2 linked regions of the Lepisosteus oculatus genome follow. The protein of the gene in region 1 purifies or fractionates together with the protein of each later gene. This does not show direct contact. Links are inferred from orthologs where the notes say so. Each region holds a gene or a part of one and is shown on either strand. Other genes may lie near its edges.

Region 1 (10,545 bases):
ACGCTGTTATAATAGTTACACTTATATAGCGCTTTTCTGGACACTACACTCCGCTTTACAGGTATTGGGGACTCCTCTTCTTAACCACCAATGTGTAGCCCCACCCGAATGATTCCCCAGGACGCTCACTACATTTCAGCTACTGTCACCGCCGTGTGCGCGTACATTTGTTAGCAGGATACCCCTTCGCAATTTGGATTTTTCCATATAATCCTGCAATCTCAGTATTAAATTAGAGAATCTATCAAGCTTTTAAAATGTATTCGATTATTTAAATTTACGTAAAACCAGAAATTATTTATAAGAAAGATTCTGCATTAGCCCGAATGTTCCATTTTATCAATGTCCATTTGCTCAAACATGTTATTAAGCGCACGCAAAACAAATGCCACTCATATCGTTGAAGAAGTGTCCATAATTTCCTTTTTTTAAACTTCAGACGCTCTTAGAGCTATCTAGCGCTAGGTTTTTGGGTAACAAATGCATATACGTTTTTCAGAAAGCCGTCTGTAGATGACCAGACCAGTCCCGAAACAAACAAGACACACGAAATGCTACAGGCATCTTGGGTTTTAAGGAGTACAGCCTGGCTTACCAAATACAAGTGTTTCTAGAACACGCACGTGTTTGTAGCAGCTCGATACCTGCTCGAACTGTAGGAGTTAAGCACGAAGAGGTCGTAAAATTTCAACTGTAAACAAATTACAAGTTTTGGAATGCATAAACTTAATATTTTAATACCTTCGCAGTTTTTATTCTCATGGCGCCTCACTCGATATTACCCTTGGGGCGATGCATTTAATACTATTGTAACGCATACGGCCACCATCGGCTGTGAGAGCCGGCTTACCAGCGCGGTGACGTCAGGCGGCAGCGGCGAGGGCGCATACCCACGTGAACCCCGTAGCGCTACAATACTAAGACATGACGCATGCCAACACGTTAACCATCTGTGACATAAACCTGTGTTTGTAATGTATGTAAAATCACCGTGATTGTAAGATATATGGTTTTTATTTTCTAAGGCACGTTTTCCTTTTCTTTCCCTACCGTGACACGCTGTTGCCAAGCCCATAGCTGTGGGATACCATCGCGACAAGTTATGATAGGGACCCCATTTATATTGCGGCAGTGTATATCACGACTGGCGCCTTGCTTCCATGCCACCCTGGCACCGCTGTCGCAACAAAGGTCTCATATCAGGACATGATATACCCAGACAGGTCGTGTCGCGATATATGGACTTGTGTAGCGACATGGGTTCAACATATCTTGCCAGGGTGTATCCTATTGCAACATATGGACTCCATGTCGTGACATGGGACAGGGCATTTTTGCCAGGGTACGCCATATCGCGATATGAGGGCTCCATGTCGCGACATGGGGCGGGGGGTGTTTTGTCATATCGCGATATGCGGGCTCCATGTCGCGACATGTGGGCGGGGCTTTTTTTCGGGGGTATGTCATATCGCGATATAGGGCCTTTCATGTCGCGACATGGGGTGGGGGCATTTTTGCCAGGGTACGCCATATCGCGATATGCGGGCTCCATGTCGCGACATGGGGCGGGGTGTATTTTTCATATCGCGATATATGGACTCCATGTCGTGACATGGGGCAGGGGCGTTTTGTCGGGGTATGTCCTATCGCGATATATGGACTTAATGTCGCGACTGTGGCACCGTGACAGTGATGGGTATCGCGATGTAATCGTGATGCGAGCACTCTTATCGTGACATGCTATTGGAGTCGTGAACGCGCTGTGAATGCCATGACATTCTTTGTCTGCTATTCAGTTTTGACCTCAGTGCGACTTCTCTTAGATTGATAAGTTATTGGAAACCAATGAATGTCTTACTGTATATCCAGCGTGCTCATAGAGCACACACGGTTAAGCACGACTACAGTATTTGGGACCAAGAAGAACCTCCATCACCTGTGTATCTGCATGTTCTCGGTACTTCCAGGTGGCGCTTTACCCAATCAGAGTGTCGATTCTCACTCTTCACCCAATCGCGGCCCGAGCTGTTCGGGGGTTTAGCCAATCACGGGTCTGAGAGCTGTTCAAGGAAGCAGCGCCAGGTGGATCGGCTTGTTTACTGTCAATGAGAATCTATTTTTAAAATGCTTTACTTATTTGCAAAGTAACTACATCGGCTTGGTTTTTAACGCCTTTATTGATTCACAATGTCCCGTGCTCTTCGAAATAAATACATTTGTATTTGCAATATAACTGTCTCCGCTGCTTTCTGTAATGAATACATCGTATTTGTACAATTTGATCGTGTATTTAAGGTAGGGGAAACACCTCCTGCTTTGTACTTAAAAATGAATAGAGATGTAAAGCCTATGATCATTATATTATTATGCTCGTGCTTCAAATTTTGTTTTTTATTGTTAAATTATATCGATCTTGAAACTAATACCTAAAAATGTGAATATGGGCTCTCGTGTTGTACCAGCGGTAATATGGAAACTGGGGTCTCTTCACCAATGCATGGAGTACACAAGCAATACATTTTCGAGAACATGGTTAAAAATTAAAAGAAAACACCTAACCCAATGAACTAACTCCTCCCTAAATGTAAGACAGTTTATTCGTGTAAAGGCTGCAAAGTCTGGGGTCAACTGATCAAAAGATCACAGCTGAAAGATCTAGTCGTGACTTTGCTGTTTTGTACGTCACGGAGTGACGTCACAGCCAGGAAAAGAAAGCGTGAAATGAGCCATACAGGAGATAGCTGTGTGAATCTGTGGGTTTGCAATAGACCAAAGCAGAGAGTCGGTGATGGGTAATGGATAGGTTTATGTCTAGAAATGGAAGAGTGATGGAAGATATGTTAACTGTATATTTGAGGGACTGGTGGAAGTTGGTGAAGTGATGCAGGAACTGCACTAGCTGGTCATTAGAGCATGAATTATTATTGTTGTTGCTGTTGTTGTTGTTAACAATGCATTTAATTTACATAACACACTACATTACAGCGAACTTCAATATGCTTCACATAAAAGACAAAACTAAAAAGAGAAGTCAATAAACATACCAATAACTAAGGTGGAAAAAGAAAAATGAGTCTGCAGTACTGAGGTTTTAAGGTCTCTTTTAAAAGTAAGTTGCTAGCAGTCAATTAAAACCAGAACCGCCCAGTATTTGTACAGCCTCTTTCCTAGGGCTGCCTTTTTGCTTAACCTGAATTCCTAGCTCTATGTGCACTGTTGCTGTTTATTAGCGCTTCTTGTCTGATATACAGTATGTAGAATAATAATAATAATAATAATAATAATAATAATAATAATAATAATAATAATAATTGCTTACACTTATATAGCGCAGGAAAATTCAGTATCTGGCACAGGATTCAAGCTAACTTCTAACCCCATCCTATTAAAGAGCAGAAACTGCTAAAACAGTTCAATAAACTTGATTAAGAAAGAGCTCAGAAAGAAGCAGACACAGGGATAGTTCTCTCTGTTCCAGGGCTGAAAACAATGTGCTCCTGTGTCACTCAGTCTGTGTCTTATATTGTACCTGTATTTTGTAGTCCTCTATTGTAATTTTACCTTTATTACATCACTATATTGTACTTCTGAAGGTATAGATGAAATTTTGAATCTTCTTTGTACAAATTGGAATTCTTTTTTGTAAATTGCTTTGGGTAAATACGACAGCTAAATTACTGTGATTATCAATAATGGATTTTACTACGTCAATGACATACACTCATGTAAGGAACCTTGATTCTTTTATTTAAATCCGAAAGGATGACAACAAATAAGCTGTATTTAAATGCCATCATATTCTAATACTTTTATGTTGTAATGCTGTATATTAGCGTCTAGACATTGTTTCATTTGACAACAGTACCTCTGCCTTGAATTTACACTGCGTTGCTTTATAGGAGTAAAGAGGAGACAATGACAAGTCGTTTGGCATGAACTTCTGGAACTTTCGTGATCTTTTCTTTAGTGATTCATAGGAGGTCCTGGTGGAAACGCGATACAAGAGAATAGCAATAGAATCATATGATTCGGATGAGTCATAGTCAGGTGACGTTACTCCTTCAGGAGGGGGAAGAGAGGGGGGGGCGAAGGGGGGTATTGCGACATACAATAATTCATAGCAACTTTCACTCTCTTTCGTCATTTTCAGGTAAAGGGGCAAATCAAGGCCTAGGCTCTCATGGTGATGCAGCATTTTATAGTATAGCTTTGTTAACCGATTTATAAGCTTATCAGCATCACATGCTTTTATGCTACCTGATGCAACCTCTTGTTTGTTTCTCTACACAGGACTTTATTATTCTCAATTTAAGGAAGATCCATAAGCAAATAAAAAAGAAAACTAAACCCAACTGCAGGTTGGAAATTATAAACCAGAACTGGCTTCCCGAAGCACAATTCATCAGGTTTTATGGGTCAATCTTAAATCCTCAAATTCTGAACCAGTAAGTTGGATTAAGTTAATTTTCACTACTGTAGCAGGTGAGGTGTTCAGCCGTTATCACCCATTATCAGGCAGATGCCTTTTTCTATAAGGGGCAGAATCTTTGTGTTGCCTATCCCAGGTGCAAGGTGAGACTGTACTGCACGAACCAGTTATCCTAGCCAACAGGCCCTTAGAAGGTAGAAATGGAGAACCTGAAGAACAACAACAGAAAAGGAGCATATATACTCCATAGAGGAGATGCCCCTGTCTGGAATCCAACCTAAGACCCAAAGCAGTAAGAAAAGTGGTCCTAACCACCATGCCACCACAATGTAATTTCATTTTTTGAAATAGAAAACACCAACATTTTGTAGCTCTCAAGGACCACAGTCAGTCATTTCTGACTCGGCATCACCAATTAATTTGCTGCTCATTCGCCGTAACTGTTGCTTGAAAAGCTGCACAGAACAGTTCCATGCGGTGAATGAGCTAATACAGAACCTGACTGACGCAACGTGTTAAACTGATCTGACCGTAAACGTGTTGCACGTCTTCAAAAACCTACGGGGTTAATTACTAGGGCCAGGGTTGTCCACCACCTGGTTACAAACTCAGGACCTGATGGCAGGTTTCTGTGCGGCTTCTTCTCTCTCGCCCTCCAGTACTTGAGTTTGAAACCCGCGGTGAGACAAAGTTGTCGATTCTGCCAGGCCTTGATAAGGCTCCTGCATAGTCTAGGCAAACAGCCGATACTCATAGAAGAGTACATACACACAGCCACGGCTGTTAAAAAGGCTGTTCAATATGTGTTGAACAAAAATGTTCCAAAACACAAGTTTGTGCCAATTTCCAGTGACTCATCTTCAACATGAGAGGGTGGCAGGTTCTGTACCTCGCCAACGCGCAGGAAAGACATTGAGGTGGATCTCTTACTTCATGCTGACTTGCAGATTGCCATCTTGCCTGATAAACAGAGGTTATTAGATAATGTGAAGACGGTCCCCCTAGTCTCTCTCATAGTGAAAATGACTGGTTATGATTTACTTTAAGTCACATTTCTTAAGATAACGAGGTACCTTCAAGTGAAGTTGAACAGGCTTTCTAAAACATTTATGTAGGTGGAAGGAAAATAGGTTTCGTCAGGGATGCCCGCTTTATACTGACTTCTGTACAAACCAGTGTTGTTTCTAATACTGAAATTGATACAATTCTAAAAAAGTATTTCCATTTATAAATTAAAAACATTACTGGCTCTGAATTTTGCTCCCTGAAATTAATATTTCCAGTCTTTTCTGTGTTCCCGCGAAAATCTTGAGTTTAGTTTTTAGAACCACTAGATGATACATAACTAATGTAATTGATAATTCACTCATGTCTTGCTTTTAACTCGTATTCTAACATGTATTTTCATGTATTGCATGTACCTCAGTAGTAGGATCATTTCTTTCTCGTATTACAGTTCCTTTTTTTTATACTGAATATTTTCTGTTTTACAGAAGCTGATATTTCCATTCTGTTTTCCCGCGCTGGGATGTCACTGTAAAAAAGTGCTTTGTCATTCTTCGACCTTCAACAACCCACTTTGAATAGGGCTCCATTCTGTTTACTTTGCTAAAGACTGGCTTGTTAGTAAACGCGAAGAAAAAAAGTGCGTTTTTTTACCAGACAGCTGGATTTCCCCCTATTCTCATAGCAACACCCTTTTAATTTTTTAGGATGCACAACCCCTGAAGAAATGCTGATTGGCTGGGGTACAGCATAAATACTAGCAAGGAGGCGGAACTACAACACAGCAGACTAGAAAGCTGCAGAAGTACAGTAGCTGGTTTATTCAAGTGCGCAATAAGGTTCACGGGTTCTCGTCGGAGCTGGTCAGGTGAAGATCGAAAAGAAGAGGTAACCATGTCGATGACAGTGAAAGCCTATCTCCTTGGGAAGGAGGATATCCACAAGGAGATCCGCAGGTTCGCCGTCGATCAAGAAGTGTCCAGCAGCTTTGAGTACTTAACTCGAAAAGTGGCCGAGGTTTTCCAAAGCCTCAGGAATGCCACTTTCCAGATGTACTATAAAGGTAAGAAACTTTGGGGGAAAAAAACGAGAACTTCAACCTGTTTGATGAGATGTCACGATTAAACTTGCTACTAAGTGCAGCTGTGAATTTGTATAGGTCAGCTGGGAGAAGCAAGCTACTTTGTTACATCACGAGGGCCTTTTGTTTATAATGTAGCCTGATGGCAAAGTGAGTTATGCAAATTGTACATTGTGGGTTGTGCTGTGCAGTCATTGTGACGCACTCACTTTTAGAACTCGCAGAAAATGGCAAGGATATTTATTACAAGATTGTCGGATGTTTCAGTTTGTTGCGTTGACCTTTATCAGTGTTTTATGGACTTATTGTTGGATTGTGTAACAAAATCGCGTTGCGCGTGACATTGGAAGCGGCTTTAACGTCGTTATTTTTAATACGTCAGGTGAAGAGAGAAGGGTTATTAATTACTGTAACCTGAATAATGTGGTACAGATATCTGTGATGGCAAGGGCTATCGCTTAATGAGCTACAGAGAAACAAAATTAACACTTAAAACGGATGTTAATCCTTGGCTACTAAACATTGAATATCGTTCTGTGACTTCATGACGCCGAGATATAGGTTCATTGTATTCTGCAGTCTACTGTACACGCAGTAAGATGGGACTGTCAGTCCTATCCAATTCCCACTGCTTATCAACGTTTTCCTTTGGTAGACTTCCGTGTATTGTCGGTTTATTGTTGTTTTTTTTCCTAATATCTGGAAGAATGGAATTGAGAACGTTCACAAAATGACTTCATCTAAATTCTATCGCTTCCCTCCCGTTAAAGTTTTACAAAACAAAGGTTTTCTGTTTGATATGTTAAGGAATACCCCTTAGCAGCAGTTGATACGAGCCGTATTAAATAACACTCCCATGGTTCGTCAAGACCAATGTCTGATGTGTCAGTTTGGTGATCATGTTCTTAACGCCCTGTTGCCCAATGAAAACAATGCATTATTTAATCCAAATGCGTTACTGAAACTCCTAAGTACAGCAGTAAGGCTCGTGGGAATGTTACCGAGACGTCGAAAACACCTCATTAGTAGAGACTGGAATACTTCAGTTGAGCTTGATTGCAGTTAAGGTAAAACTTTCCATAGCATCTCCTTTTTGTTCCCTGAGTAAATGACTAATTGTCTGTAAATTAAACCCTGCTAACTGACACTTTTTTTCCCCAACAGATGAGGATGGCGACTTGATTGCTTTCTCCTCTGATGATGAACTGATGATGGGACTTGCTTGTATAAAGGACGATACTTTTCGAGTCTTCATTAAAGGCAAGTTGTTTACCCTGGGTGAATCATTTACAGTTCTTAGGGGACCGACTAAATGTGTTTAAACAATGACTTCAAAGTTTGCTCTGTCACAAAACTAAGCCAGTTTTTTTTTTTTTAATATTGAGCAAAATCCATGAACACGAATACTTTTACCACTTGGAGGTAATGTGAAATTTAACGATTGGGGAAGTAGGCAATGTTTATTGAATTAATTTAAAGGTGGTGGCTCCACTCCTAGCTTTTAACTGTTAAATAGACATGTATCCTGTGCCACACTTTTTCTGTGAAACATGCTGCAGTATCCATTTTTAGGGACAGATAATCAGAAATCTCCTGTGCTCATGACCGTGGGTTTTTTTCCCCCCTTCACCCCACAGAGAAGAAGGAGTGCAAGCGGGACTTTCACCCCCATGGATTCCAGGGTCCTGATCGCCCCTTCCCTTTCCCCTTCTCCTTCCAATCCCCTCCCCCTCCCCCCTCCCATAACGCCGTGCACCCCAACGTGACCTGCGACGGCTGCGAGGGCCCAGTGGCTGGGACGCGCTTCAAGTGCACCGTCTGCCCCGACTACGACCTGTGCTCATCCTGCCAGGCCAAGGGGCAGCACAAGGAGCACCCCATGCTTCCCATCTGGGCTCCCCTGCAAAACATGTTTGAAGTAAGACGCCTGGCTGAGCCATGATCGGAACCGAACACTTCTTGGAAACCTTGTTTGTTCTAGATCAACATTATGACGGCTGTTCCTTTACAAAAACATTATCCCTGTTTTTAGACAATGACTATTCAGTCCAGATGACTAGCACAGCTGCATATCCTCTTCTGGGTTTCAAATAGTTCCATTACTTGTTTTAGCAAAATTCAAGGTTTAATTAAGTTTTGTGCTATGATATAACTGCTTTATATGCATTATATGTGCATGTTTCCCCCTTGGTGTGACAGAAGTTGTTTTTTACAGTTCTAAACTATGCCGAACCTTCCTGAAATGTCACTTTTCTACTCTGGTTCTAACTGGATCTGCCTGTATGGCTAAACTGCAAAATTGTCTGAACTGCTTTTTCTTCATAACCTCATATTGCTGTTTTGTATTTGTGAACTGTTTGGAGGGTTTCGTAAAACCTCAATATAATTTGTGTAAAAAAAGAAAATGTACACTCTTAGGCCTGGTTCGGTAGTTTAATCTTTTTTTTTTCCCCCTAGTGGTACCCGCGCGGGAAGTGGATGCGCAAGATGAGACATGGCTTCCCCCACTGCATGTGGGCTGGAGCCCAGAACAGGCCCCAAGCCAGCCAGGCTGGGCCCCAGCCTACGCCCCAGCCTGATCCGCAGAACACCCAGGAAGAAGCAGGTAAGCAGTCCCTAGCCTACAGCTCCTCACATCCTTTTTACCACTCTTCTGCCTTCATGTAAGCTAATGAACAAAAAGTAGCTTTGTCACGGATGTCGGAAAAGGCATGCTGTGGAATGGCCAGAAGAGCAAAAGAGACCCTATGCATAGTGGCAAAACTGGGGTTAGCCCGGGCTCAGGAGGTCAGACGATGTCGGGTAGAAACCTATGCCCTCAGGCTGCTGAGGAAATGACCTATTGGTAGGTGGGTCTCAAGACATCCGAACCCTCAATGCTGAGTGAGGAGGAAAGGGTGACCCGGAAATATATAGCCCCACACAAAGACACACCGGAAGGACAAGCAAAGCACAGGGAAACTAGGAACAGGACACAATAGGAGTGCCCCCTAGCTGTAGAGGGCTTGACAAACTTGCTTAGCTCATGCCTACTTCAAAAATAGACTCGACTTCTCAATCTTCTTATCTTCATATTTCCAAACTTTTTTAACTTTGAACAAGCAAGATTTCATATGGTCTTTAAGCCATGCAGCTTTCTATAAAATGAAGAACCAAAGACTGAATTGTCAGGTCTTAAAAATGGATTTGCTTTAAATCATTGTGGTCTTTCTTTACAGGTCAAACTTCTGTGCACCAGGATAGTGTGGATTATCTGAAAAACATTGGGGAGGGTGTGGCAGCCATGCTGAGTCCACTGGGTAAATCTGTTTTTGTATAAGGAATGTGCTAAATCTAAAAAGAGCACTGCTATGAATGATTACAGCTATGGTCCACTTAACTGATACTACATGACAACAAAGGACATGTCGAATCCTTCTTTTGACCAGTCCAAATGTTCTCTGCAGGCATTGATGTAGACATTGATGTGGAGCACAGAGGATCAAGGACCAAAGTGAACCCAACCCAGCCTGCTTCTGGAGACATGTCCAGTACCCAGGCTGGAAAAATAAGAGAGGACAGCCAGCCGAGTGGTGTTGAACCAATGGACAGTGAGCAGCCAACTGATGGGCAAAGTAACCTGCAAGCCACCAACAGTGGGGCAAAGGTACAGGTTTTATACCATATGCGTCTGTCTCCACCCCAGAAACCTGTTACAGATGTAATGATCATGGTCACGATTCCGATAATGAGACTTCATGCAAAATCCTGCTATTTTTCTTCTTCTGTTGCGGCAGTTTGAATAACCGAGTAGTTTCTTCTACTGATTAGTAATTAATTTACCAATTTAATTTTCACATCCAATAGGGGCAAAAAGAAACAACCAGTGATGAGGAGTGGACCCATCTCTCCCCAAAAGAAGTTGACCCCTCAACAGGGGAGCTGCAGTCCTTCAGGCTGGAGGAGGGATTTGCGGGGCCCAGTCCCCTTAGTGCTTCTGCACAAGGTCCTACTGGTCTGAGAGAGGCAGCCTTGTACCCACATCTTCCCC
Region 2 (11,463 bases), on another chromosome or scaffold:
ATATCCAGAACTCATTTGAAAATGAACATTTTCTGTAGGTTTTGGAGATGTGAACACTTCAGAATACACCCCTCACACACATTAGTACTAATTGCTCCTATACTGCAGAAATTCATGTACTGTACTTGGAAACAGAGTTTAACTGACATCCTAAATTTACATACAGTATAAAGTTTGAATTAAACTCTTCTATTATTTGCATTAGTTCTGTGGAACCTGGTGAGTTCTTAGTTTTTTTTTAAATCAGTTTTCTCTCCTTGCAATACTATGAAATTTTGTTTATATTAAAAGAAAACAAAGATTTCCTCTGAAGTTTAAAGCAGAAACTTTGAGATGCGCGAGTCAGGCAAAATACAGGAACACTGACGGGAAAGAATGTAAAAAGGTGCTGTAAATTGCATATTGTACAGCCATATGACTAGGTCGTGAGTTTGAACAGAATATTTTTTGTATCTGTGAAAGTCATTTTTCGTTATCACTCTGGATCTTGTTCATGAAAGGCAGCAGTAAATGTGTAAGAGAAAAGGGCTTACCAGTGATTTCCCCACTCAATCATTGTTCCAGGCTAGAAGATAAAATGAAGATACCGATAACATTAAACTACAGAAACTGCAAAAAAGAATGTGTGTATAGGCATTCCCAAGGGCTCGAATGATTAGAAAACTATTTTCAGTGTGATAAGCTGCTCAATAGACGGGACTCAACCTTCAGTTTGTAGGTACGCAGCTCATAGATATTGGGGCCTGCCCTGGAGAGCGGCTCATTCCAGAAGCTGAACTCCAGAAGCAGCTGGTTTCTGCGCGAGATCAGCATTTTACTCCTCTCCTTCCGGAACTCCAAGTACTCCTATAGGGATTCAGCAGATGGAATATCACAAGCAACCAAGAACCAGCTGTAAGAATTTTTCATACAGTACAGCACGCATGTACATCTTGTTCTATTCCAAAATAATTTCTACAATTAAATATGTGCATTCATTGGTGTGCAAAAAATCCTATTAAAATCTTATTAATGCAAACCCTTAATTCTACTGATATTTGAGCTAATTTGTTTTAAACTAACCAGCTTATCCTGATAGACCTGTATTTGGCACTACAAACAGTATGTTCGGATGTACAGTGGAAAACAAATACGTTAATGATAGGGAACAATGAATCAATTAGACTTGACTGATAGATACTGTATGATGGAATAGCTATTGCAACACTTTATATTGGATATTCACATTTACAATTGAACCACTGTGAGTTTTTTAAAAATCAATGTGAATTGAAAAATAAGTGACAAGCTTGGTTTCTTCTCATCTAAACTAAGCATTCAATGTGCTCAATAACATTCAATGTAATTTTCATAGAAGAAAACACTAATGAAGGCATCAGTACATTGCTGATGCTCATAACAATCACATATTTTAACTCTTGTCATCCAAGACACCAAAGACTTTTGCACAGCAGAGTAATTCAGAATGCATACACTTCACTATTTGACTTCTTTAACACTTTCTAAACATGACACGAGCATCATCACAGGAGCAAAACAAAATCACAAAAAAAAAAACCAAGGTTACTTTAGAAGACCAATGTTCCATTCACAAGAGATTCTTGACATTCTTTAAATCTACATGGACTGCCTAAATATCTTTAATCCACAGGAAGAGAGAATGTATACTATGTAACCTCATACAGTATGATAACTATTGCATATTGTTTACTTGGTGTTTTTAGTGCATTTTCTGGGGTGTGATGTATTTTTATAAATCCTTTCCAGAGAAGTGACAGTGAGCAAGCCTATTTATACACCTTGGGATCTTTAGTAGTTATGTATCAATTCATCCCTGAAGACAACTACCTAAAACTATTAATATTCAACTTTATGATGCTGTTTCTCCAATATCTGAATTGTTTCCAGTAAAGTCACCAAAACAGAGGTACCTGTATATACACGCTTAGCCAGAACCTCACCAATTAATTTGATTTAACTTTCTCTTACCTTTGTATGCAGTCAACACACCAACAACAGAAGAACCACATACAGTGACAAACAGAAACAAATATCAGTGACCATCAATTATAATATGAAGGAAAAAACAAGAACCAGTTCCATACCTTATCCTGCCACAACTTGTTTAAACATTCAGTCAAGGCTGGATAACCCCCAGAGTATCGCCAGAGGTGCACTGCAACAGCAGAACAGCACAGGTAACTATTGCTTTGTCCTACCACTGGAAAACAGCAGGGGTCGCTATTACTTACCCTTACCACTTGAAGAATACAAACACGGGTTTTTCACCCGTCTTTGTATTCTGTTTCAAGGAGAAACAGCAGATCAGCATATAACCATTTAATACCCACCTGAACTACTATAACCATACTGATCACGCAGAAAGCTACAAAAAAGGGTCCGTTTTACAACTTTGGTCAAGTGCCATAAATATGGATGGATAGTGAACATATGACAAATCTCCTACGCTTTTGTATAATACGTATGCCATGAGCTCAATGCAGTACTGAATGAGCTACAGAAAACACTTACCAGCTTGGTCTTGTTCCCCATACCAAGTGTTCCAGCTTCCCACTATCTCACAAGGATAGTCCTTGTCACAGTGCAGTCGGTTCTGAACCTCAGCTCTGCAGGCCACAGACAACAATGCCACAATTGACACTCGAACTCCTTCTATCACCGAAAGTGTGATCAGAGCAAGAAATACCTGAGTAAATCATACTGATAATAATCATGAAGTCATTGCTAATTACTGGTGGATTTTAAAAAATTAACTGCATAAGCTAAACCACAGTGGACCCTTCTGAAATGTATAAAATACACATTCACCACCATGAAGGTGACTCCATAATCCTCTGAAGTGATTAAACTAAGCGTGAATGAGTCAAAATATAAAATACAATGTACTACTTACGATAAGTTGTTATAGGCGTCTAGGTACTCTGGTTTCACATTGTGAACTGAAATAGGAAGGAAAAGAATCTGCTTAGTCACAAAGAGTTTGTAGTAGAGTCTGTTTGCATGGGTGCAGGGTGTATATTGTATATGAATGGTTGGGTTGTTGTTATTGAGAAATCCAGTGCACACAGTGCTTTACAGAATTTTAACAGTGGCATTATTCTGCATAAATTCAAAAACTACCTGAAGAAACAGCAGCACCATTTGAGGTCATCTGTACTCACACTGTATTTTGTACAGGTTGCTGGTCTCTTTTTTTGACAGCAGGTTGGAGTGGGCATCTTTCCTGGGATCAACTTTATGCACAAACAAAGACTGGAACCAGCTTTTGTCTGCAAGACCTCTATTAAATGGGGAGACGGATAAGGGGTGTAGGGTGAGAAACATATTGATAAACAATGTTTCAAGACAAACACCGATTTCTGATTTTGCCTGTCTCAGAGGCTTCAGTCAAAGGTATGTTTGCCAAGACGGCATGTTTCCAATAAGCAGCTCACAACAAATAAGTCTAATTGATTGCTGAGTATTGCCCACTTCAGATGTTTTTCAGCACTGGCTACTCCCTGTTCAGTACATCAACTGTAGTGGTCATGTGATAGCGCCTACTGCCCCGAGGGGCAAAGTTCAGGAACCAGGAAAACGATTGACTTAGACATTAGACCTTTCTCAATGTGTTTCATTTCCTCACATCTGCACGGAATAGTAATTTAGTGAGCTTTCGTGCTATTTCCTAGAACACCAACTACTAAATAGGAAAATGAAAAATGAATCGACTCCATTACGGTCAGAAACCATTTGTTTTGTTAACAACTGGTCAACAACATCATTCATTGTATTTTACAACCGGAGCGCCTGAACCCTTCCGATCAAAGAAGCTGCCATAATTAAAAATATCATACATTTTCTTTTTTTTTTCTTTTAGAAAACGTGTAACGTCCTGTCTAACGTCAGGACACGAGCATTTGCAATGCACCTGCAGGCACATCTTTCACCTTCGTTTCTAAGCACAAAACACTGCAGTGACAGGAGTCTATAAACAGCAGAATAAACATATATATTTAACAAAACCATGCTCTCTGTTAAACCTTGCAACTAGTTCGGCTTTACCTTTTAAAGATGAACAGCCCCAAAGTATTCTTACACAGTAATTGCTGGGGTTTGGGCAGTTTTAAAAACCACGTCGCCGCCATCTTCTAGTGTTTTAAAAACGCTGTGCTTTATTTAAAAGAAAAATACTGGCTGAAATTGCAGTGGTTTCTGGATGTGTCGCACGTGTAGATCCGTGTGTCACATTCACCCAAATCACTCGAGTTTAGTTCCTGCTCAAAGGTTGCACACGTTCAAGTGACGTGATCCTGAATATAACTAAGGAACAAAATATCTTCGCAACGGAGATCGATTCATTGACTCTAAAATAACAAGCCAATGGCTGTATGCCTGGCTCTTACAAACAACTGTTTTTTTATAATGTCCTATAATTATTGTTTTTTTCCCACTGTGTGTAATATAAACCTCTCTCTATGGTCTTTAATATACAATAATAAAAAATAAACAAGTTATGTAATCAAAATCAAAATAACACGTTCTATGAACAAAACAAATTATTAATACATTTACAGTGTGAATGATGCACACGAATGTATTTATTTCCGTCCTTAATCATACTGTATATTAATTAGTAAAAGTCTTTGTACTGCTACTAAATGTAAATACTGTTCTCTTATCATGCCAGTATGCATTATGTTTTTTAATTTGTCGTATACACGGGATAACTAAGAAAATTATGTTACTTAGATGTATGTTGGTCATTCTAATATTAACTAGTCCCACCCACAAATAATATTATCCATTACATTATCTTAATTTATTTTTAACAAAACCACATACCCTGCTCTAGGCTTACTTTTCTACCTTATCATTGTTAATATGAAACATCATGTACAGTATAATTTCTGTTGCACTATTGTTAACAAACTGCAACACCTCTGTGTTTTTGTGTTCGGCACCCAGACTTAACCATTCTGCTGTTTCCCCAATAACCTACAGTAAGTAAATAAGATGTGTTTTCCTAATGTACGTTAAGCTAATCATAAAGAGGAATAATATATACAGTATTCATATTAGAACTTGAAAGTGTTTTATTATCCTGTGTAAGGTTGAAAATAACTCACACTTTCAGATGAATCTGAAACAATTTATAATTTAATTTACTTATTCACTTCTTATGCTCTTATTGACTTATTCAATTCTGTTGCTTTTTTTGTGGGGACAAAACATTAAATCTGTTACAAACACATGCACCACTTGTGAAGGGACGAAAGAAGATTCAAACACAAGGAGACAAGGAGAAACAGTCAACATTGTGATCTTTTTATTATTCGTGCAAAATGCCAGAGCGGTCCAAGGTACCCACGATAATAGACAGATACAGTATGCGGTGTTAAGCTTTCTTCAGCAATGTGCTAAACTCTCTGAAAAACAGAAAAACAAAAACAGTTGTAAACTCACATCACTCTGGGGCTATTATAAAACTAAACCAGAGAACACAAGAAAAACAGAAAGGAAGGAGAAATCAGTTTCATTTCCTCACATCTGGATTATTTGTATTACCAAAAGAATATTGTTTTGTTTTTTGCCTCTATCTAATACTGTACACTATAGCAGTATATGGACAGCACATGGCTCTCAGACACATTCAAATACTACACAACATAAAAATGTTTTAGACTACACATCCTAACTAATCAGTATCTTCAGAAGGCTCATTAGCTTTCTTCATATTAATATATGCTTGTTCAAAAGTGTGCAGCTAAGACTCCTCTAAAAGGTGTTACAAAGATTATTTCAGTGTACCTGAAGTCAATCTCACCACAGTTGTCCTTATCAAGATCATCCATGAGTTGCTGCACTTCTTCCATGGTTAAACAGGTTCCTATCCCCTGCATCAAACAAAAAACACTCATGAGCTTTTGAGCAATGGCAATTTATATGGTAATAATGTTACACATTCCAGGTTTATGACAGAGGCGCTGTGCGTTTACTAACCTTGAGTCCCAGCTGAAACTCTGCTCTAGTGATGAGAGCACTTCCACCCTCTTCCACAGAGTCAAAAGAATCCTCAAGCTTCAAGTTGTTCTTTTTTATGTGATACTTCAGTTTTCCTAAGGGATCTTTCTAGAGGTGACAGGAGCACTTGAGGTTGGATATTGTTTGCTCATTCATTGCAGGTCCAGCAATCATCCATTGATTCGATTCTGTAGCTGCTATCGTTTAATACAGCCATATTTCTTGCAGTAATTTATGCATTGATGTGACAGTTTCTACAGTATGTTGTTTATGTCAGATCTTTTTGCAACTTCCCTCCTTGCACCCTATTCTTCTGGGACAGGTTACAGGTTGATCCTCGTTATGAATAAGCGGTTTTCTGATACTCTATTGCAGGGATGGATGGATGTTTTTGATGTAAAAATTTTAAAAAAGACAGATTTTTCTATCATTTCATCTACATATATCTCAAATCTATGCATGACTGTACAGGCAGTTGGAACACACACAAAAAAAATCTAACTAGCAAGTGGAGGTTAATTCCAAGTAGAAAGATATAGAACTATAACTCTAACACTAAGACTCAACAGCCGAAACATTGTGGTTTTTTCCTACTTTTCAGGATGAAATTAACCTTTAATTTTTCCTTGTCGGCTGATGACTGTATTTATTCGACAAAAACCATTGACCTATAATTATATACCGTTTTCATAGATTCGACAGGTGGTTTTATCTTCTGAGTATCATTCTTGCGCTAGAAGGGGGTCTGTTTTACCCTGTTACAAATAAAATTGCTTTATGCGTTTTTAGCAGTACAGATTAATATTCATATTCTGTTATAATATTCCCCGAGGTGGAGTGTTGTACAGTAGTTGCAGTCCGTCAACAAGCTGTTCGCTGAGCAACTTACTGGGACTTTAGATGTTTTGAAAGAAAAGCTGTCTGCATTTCTTTCGTGTTTCACCTGCAGGTTCGGAAACATTTCTTTGACTTTGTTGTACAATTCATCAAAATCCTTGTTCACGATGATGTCCTGAGAAAAAATATACACAGAACGTTGATTAGTATGCACACACCCATTCAAACAAGGACAGTAATAGTATAACAGCAAACTATTTTAATATGTAATATGTCTGTTATCCGTAACATTCTGTAGGATGTGTATTGTTTTGCATGAGGACGTGAAGAAAACAGTAACTGAGAGCAACAGTTGTGCCATCAACGAAAAGTAAATATATATGAATAATTCTAAAATCAAATTAAAGCCGAAGGTGTAGTACAGAGAAGTCCAGGGTCTCGATGGCAGATTCAGGGTTCCCTTCCATTGATTTTAGTATCCCATAACAGCCAGCACTCTGCATTGGATTTCGAGACATCTAGAAAAGAGAAAGGGAAAGAAATGTGCCTTTAATCCCTAAATAATCTTTATGGTAAAGTAGATATCTAAGATTTCTGTAGGGGGCCCATGTACTTAACGTCAGTCTATTCTTACTTTTCAAAACTGTACCTATAACTATAACTGTTGCTGAATTGTATAGAGGGTTATTTAAAAAGAAAATACAAATGGCTTGATATGTCAAGCTAAAATAACAGGTGTGTTATGTGCCCATATCTACTGTACGGGGGACACCGTAGGAATTATTTCAAAAGTAAGAGATTTCACATCTTACACTAAGGATCTTCAGTGTCTTGTTTTCTTTGAGTCCCATGGCAAAGCGCACTGCACCTTCAGGAGGGATCTGATTGTTACTAAAACAGATACATGCAAGAAAATGATAGCTTTGGAAACGGGAGCAAGACAAAATCTTTAAAGCAGGGGTTTCAACTTCAGTTCCCGGAGGGTTTGGTGTCATTATGTCGTCTTTTCGTAGTTTTCCAGCTCTTGTGTCGCACAGTCTGTCTAATTAATTAAATATGTAATTTTAATACTTTTATCTAGATCCGTAGGTGTTTTATCAGCAATTGCACACATAATGACATGAATGCTCTGAGTAATAAACAGTAAAACACCTCAGGAAAAATCCAATGGATTTGAAATAAGAAAATAATTAGATTGTTTCTTTAATTGGCTGCTCTGGCTGTGATAAAGATGCAAGACCCCTCAGGCACCTGTTTTAGAAACACGTTCTTTAAAACATAGAAACATGTTGTAGTATTTTATAACAAATTCAAATTCAACTACTGAGACATGCCTGTCCGCTTCAATTTTCACCAGAAAAAACACCTATTTACAGCATTTATTCCTAGGAGTTGCACAGGTATAAAACTTTCCATCTACACCGGATAGACATTTTCAAGCACACAGTTTTCTTCAGTAAGTTAATAATGTCAGTCGGTACTTAAAGACTTTACATGTTTCTTCATGCTATGCTAAAATCAGCAGAAAGAGGGAGACAAAAGTTAAGTTTACAGTGAAATACACTTTCATTGGATGGTGGGCATTCATCTGAGTTCAGACTCTACTTTCACATACTGTACTGTACCTGATGTTCAAATCTTCAAGCACATTGTTCACCTTAAGAGCTTCACCGAGAGCTGCAGCTCCATCTTTCCCAAATCCATTGTACGACAGGTCTAGCTTTCGAAGAAATATGTTTGCCTAAAATGAAAATATGATAGTCAAATAAGGTGTATTTATAAACTATTATGTTAGATGTAATATGTTTATTTTACAAAGTACTAAGATATAAAGACAAGTATGTAGTCTTATGCTTCCGCTCCCCAAAATATTTTCATCTGAGCTTTTTCAGAAATGGAAAGTTGCATTAAAACAGATAATGGACAGTACCCCTAAACCTTTTGCCACTGCTATTGAGCTCTTTCCCCGTAAACAGTTCCAGCTCAGATTGAGGGTCTTCAATCCAGTGTTCTCAGCAATAGCATTGCCCAGTGCCTCACCTGAAGAAACAAACACAAAACAGCAGATGAACTTCCCCAGTGACATCTGACATTTTGGTTTCTGGTTGATTTTGAAGAATCTTCTTTGAAAAAGAACGGGATAAATAATATTTAACATCTAATCAAAATAATATTAGTGGTTTGTACAAGTGAGCACATAAAAAAAACAAATAAAAGGAACAAACTGAAAGATAGCCTGTTATGTTGTCCAATAATCTGCAAAGCAACTTTCTTAAATGATGTTGCTATGCAGCTTAATTGTTTCCCAATTCAGTCCTCTCAATACATTTTTATTGGAAGAACAATAATGCTTTCATGGCATCTGTTTCTTGCTCACAAGTCTTAAAATGTTGCACAGAACACGTTTCATCTGAGCTCTGGGACAGTGTAAAATTTGTGTAACAGTCTTTACAGATGTTTGTATGCCATGTCACGCAGTGATCCAAAAGCAGTGGCAGAAACCCTCACTACTGTATGTGATTATGACAGTAATCCACTGTGCTACTAAGAAACAAAAGCCTGCCTTTTCCTTTCCTGCAGGTTCCTGTAGTTTACATATGTTTTAATGTTAAATTGTCTTGTAACGAGCATGTAGAAATGAATCTGTCTAACCTGTGCACTAATCATATATATATGGTTATAAACATAGTCATTTCCAACAACAATTAATGCTACTACCTACAGCACACTTAATTAAAAGGTGAGCATTGGTTCTGGTGTACAGATCACCACAGAGGGCACAGTAAGTAAGGAAAGTAAGGTGGTGCTTACACTTGTTCTTCAGCATTAAGTCGTAATCTAGGGCTCATTATTTGAGTCACGAAGCTGAAGGTTAAAAAATAACATCTTCTAATGTGGAAACATTACTGTCCTATTCATTTTCCCATGGCATTGTCGCGGGCAGTACCTGCGCCGTCTCCCATCATGTTGTGACTCAGGACCATGCTTTCCACTTTCTGATTGCTCACCAAGGCTTCAGCTAAGTGCTTGGCAGCGTGATCATCAAAGTCATTCCCAGAGAGGCTGATAGTGACCAAGGTGGTGTTCTCCAGGAGCATACTGGAAAGGGCTTGGGCACCTCTCTCTCCCAGTTTGTTCTCTGACAAATCGATTTCTGGCAAAGAAAGAATTTTGGGGGGAGAAGGATTAGCTAAAGCCCCCCTTCTCCAGTTAATGCCAATGTAATTCTTGCTGATGGCTCATACACTGAGCAGGTTTCATTTAAAAAACGCTTCTGATGAGACAGAACAGGATGGCAGAGCCCTTACAACCAGAACAGAACCTGTGATGTAGCAGTTTTCTTTCAGCATCTCTGCAATCGCAGCTCCGCCCAGCCCCTCAATCCAATTATCCCTCAGGTTCAACTTGAGGATGGATGTGTTGGTTACCAAGGGAACAGCAAGAGCTTTGGCACTCTAGAAAAGGACATTTTGAAAGTAAGTTCCTGTTTCTTAAGCCTGATATGTACTGTATTTGTTCGGAGAAAAAGAGCAAGTAATAAATTAAACAGACCTAGAGATTTATAAGAGATTCACCAGCTATACCTGTGGACCGAGGCCATGATGCATCATTATGAGCTCTGTATCATTCATGTGACGCAGGAAGTATGACACCGGAACCACACCAAAGACCTTGCAGGCAGCCTTGTAACATGAATGTCCAGTGGGATCATAAGGTTCCTTCATGTCTTCAATAAATCAAGAACACCTGAACTTATAATCATAGCACTGCAGTACCATTCTTCTTTTAAGTACTTCGATATGGGCACAGGTGATGTTTACTTATTTAATCATCCACTTACAGTATGACATAAAAAAATAACAAGGATTGTAATTACTATTGTGAAACTCACTCCACACAGTAAATAGTCAGGATGCATATCTATATTGCATAGTCCTGTATGTAGTGATCACATTACTTAACACACTGAAAATACCTTACAGGTGAAAGGCATTCCTTGAAGTTTATATGTGCGAGTTTTCACAGAAGCAGATTAGTTTTAATAAAGGAGGACAGTTAAACTCTAGCATCCACCTTTAAGCTATTTTTATTTTTGTGCCGTAAAGTCAGCAGAAAGTCAACAGTGGGTTGGATATGAGGGAGGTGGTACCTTCTAATTCCAAATCTGTGTCCCATTCCTCCTCTGCACTGACCGTCTCCTTTTCAGAGCTGTCAGCTGGTTTATTTTCCAGGGCATTGTCATCATCATCCTGCTCGCTGGGTACGTTTTCTTCTCTGCTCACCTCTGAACTCAGAGCTCTGCTCAGTGCGGGGGACTGACCTTTGCCTGCTCTTGAGACAGTCTACATGACAAAGAACACAATCACAGCATTAGCTGAATTGAAAACAGAGCCAAATAATGTCATATCAGGAAACTGCAGAGAGATGTTTACAGAGAAGTGTGTGTTTTACTTTAAACAAAACATAATAATCAGTAGGCTCATTAAAATAAATTTGACTGATCTGTTACTACTGATAAACTACACATGCTGTAGATTTAAATCTAGAAGGAACAAAAAAATCCATAATTCCTACCCACCTTGTTGTCAGTACTGCCTCGAC

What was found. The genes of interacting proteins can lie anywhere in the genome.
Region 2: the proteins of sqstm1 (region 1) and nipsnap1 purify together in Homo sapiens (affinity purification with mass spectrometry; 4 studies listed by BioGRID and IntAct, with this or other methods). This does not show direct contact. The link is inferred for Lepisosteus oculatus from reciprocal best matches to the Homo sapiens genes SQSTM1 and NIPSNAP1.

Annotation. Positions count from the first base shown.
Region 1 is NC_090706.1:33,991,736-34,002,280, forward strand, and holds the start of sqstm1 (sequestosome-1), read left to right. Parts: upstream 1-6,052; 5' UTR 6,053-6,328; coding exon 6,329-6,497; intron 6,498-7,679; coding exon 7,680-7,775; intron 7,776-8,152; coding exon 8,153-8,433; intron 8,434-8,972; coding exon 8,973-9,120; intron 9,121-9,733; coding exon 9,734-9,814; intron 9,815-9,961; coding exon 9,962-10,161; intron 10,162-10,361; coding exon 10,362-10,545. UniProt on the Homo sapiens protein: Molecular adapter required for selective macroautophagy (aggrephagy) by acting as a bridge between polyubiquitinated proteins and autophagosomes.
Region 2 is NC_090717.1:4,644,362-4,655,824, reverse strand, and holds the start of nipsnap1 (protein NipSnap homolog 1), read right to left. Parts: upstream 4,355-11,463; 5' UTR 4,149-4,354; coding exon 4,066-4,148; intron 3,302-4,065; coding exon 3,183-3,301; intron 2,961-3,182; coding exon 2,915-2,960; intron 2,628-2,914; coding exon 2,533-2,627; intron 2,177-2,532; coding exon 2,106-2,176; intron 847-2,105; coding exon 706-846; intron 566-705; coding exon 534-565; intron 1-533. Other genes in the region: lrrc74b (leucine-rich repeat-containing protein 74B), read right to left, coding at 5,399-5,429, 5,812-5,897, 6,004-6,132, 6,914-7,036, 7,284-7,379, 7,674-7,752, 8,487-8,602, 8,792-8,901 and 5 more.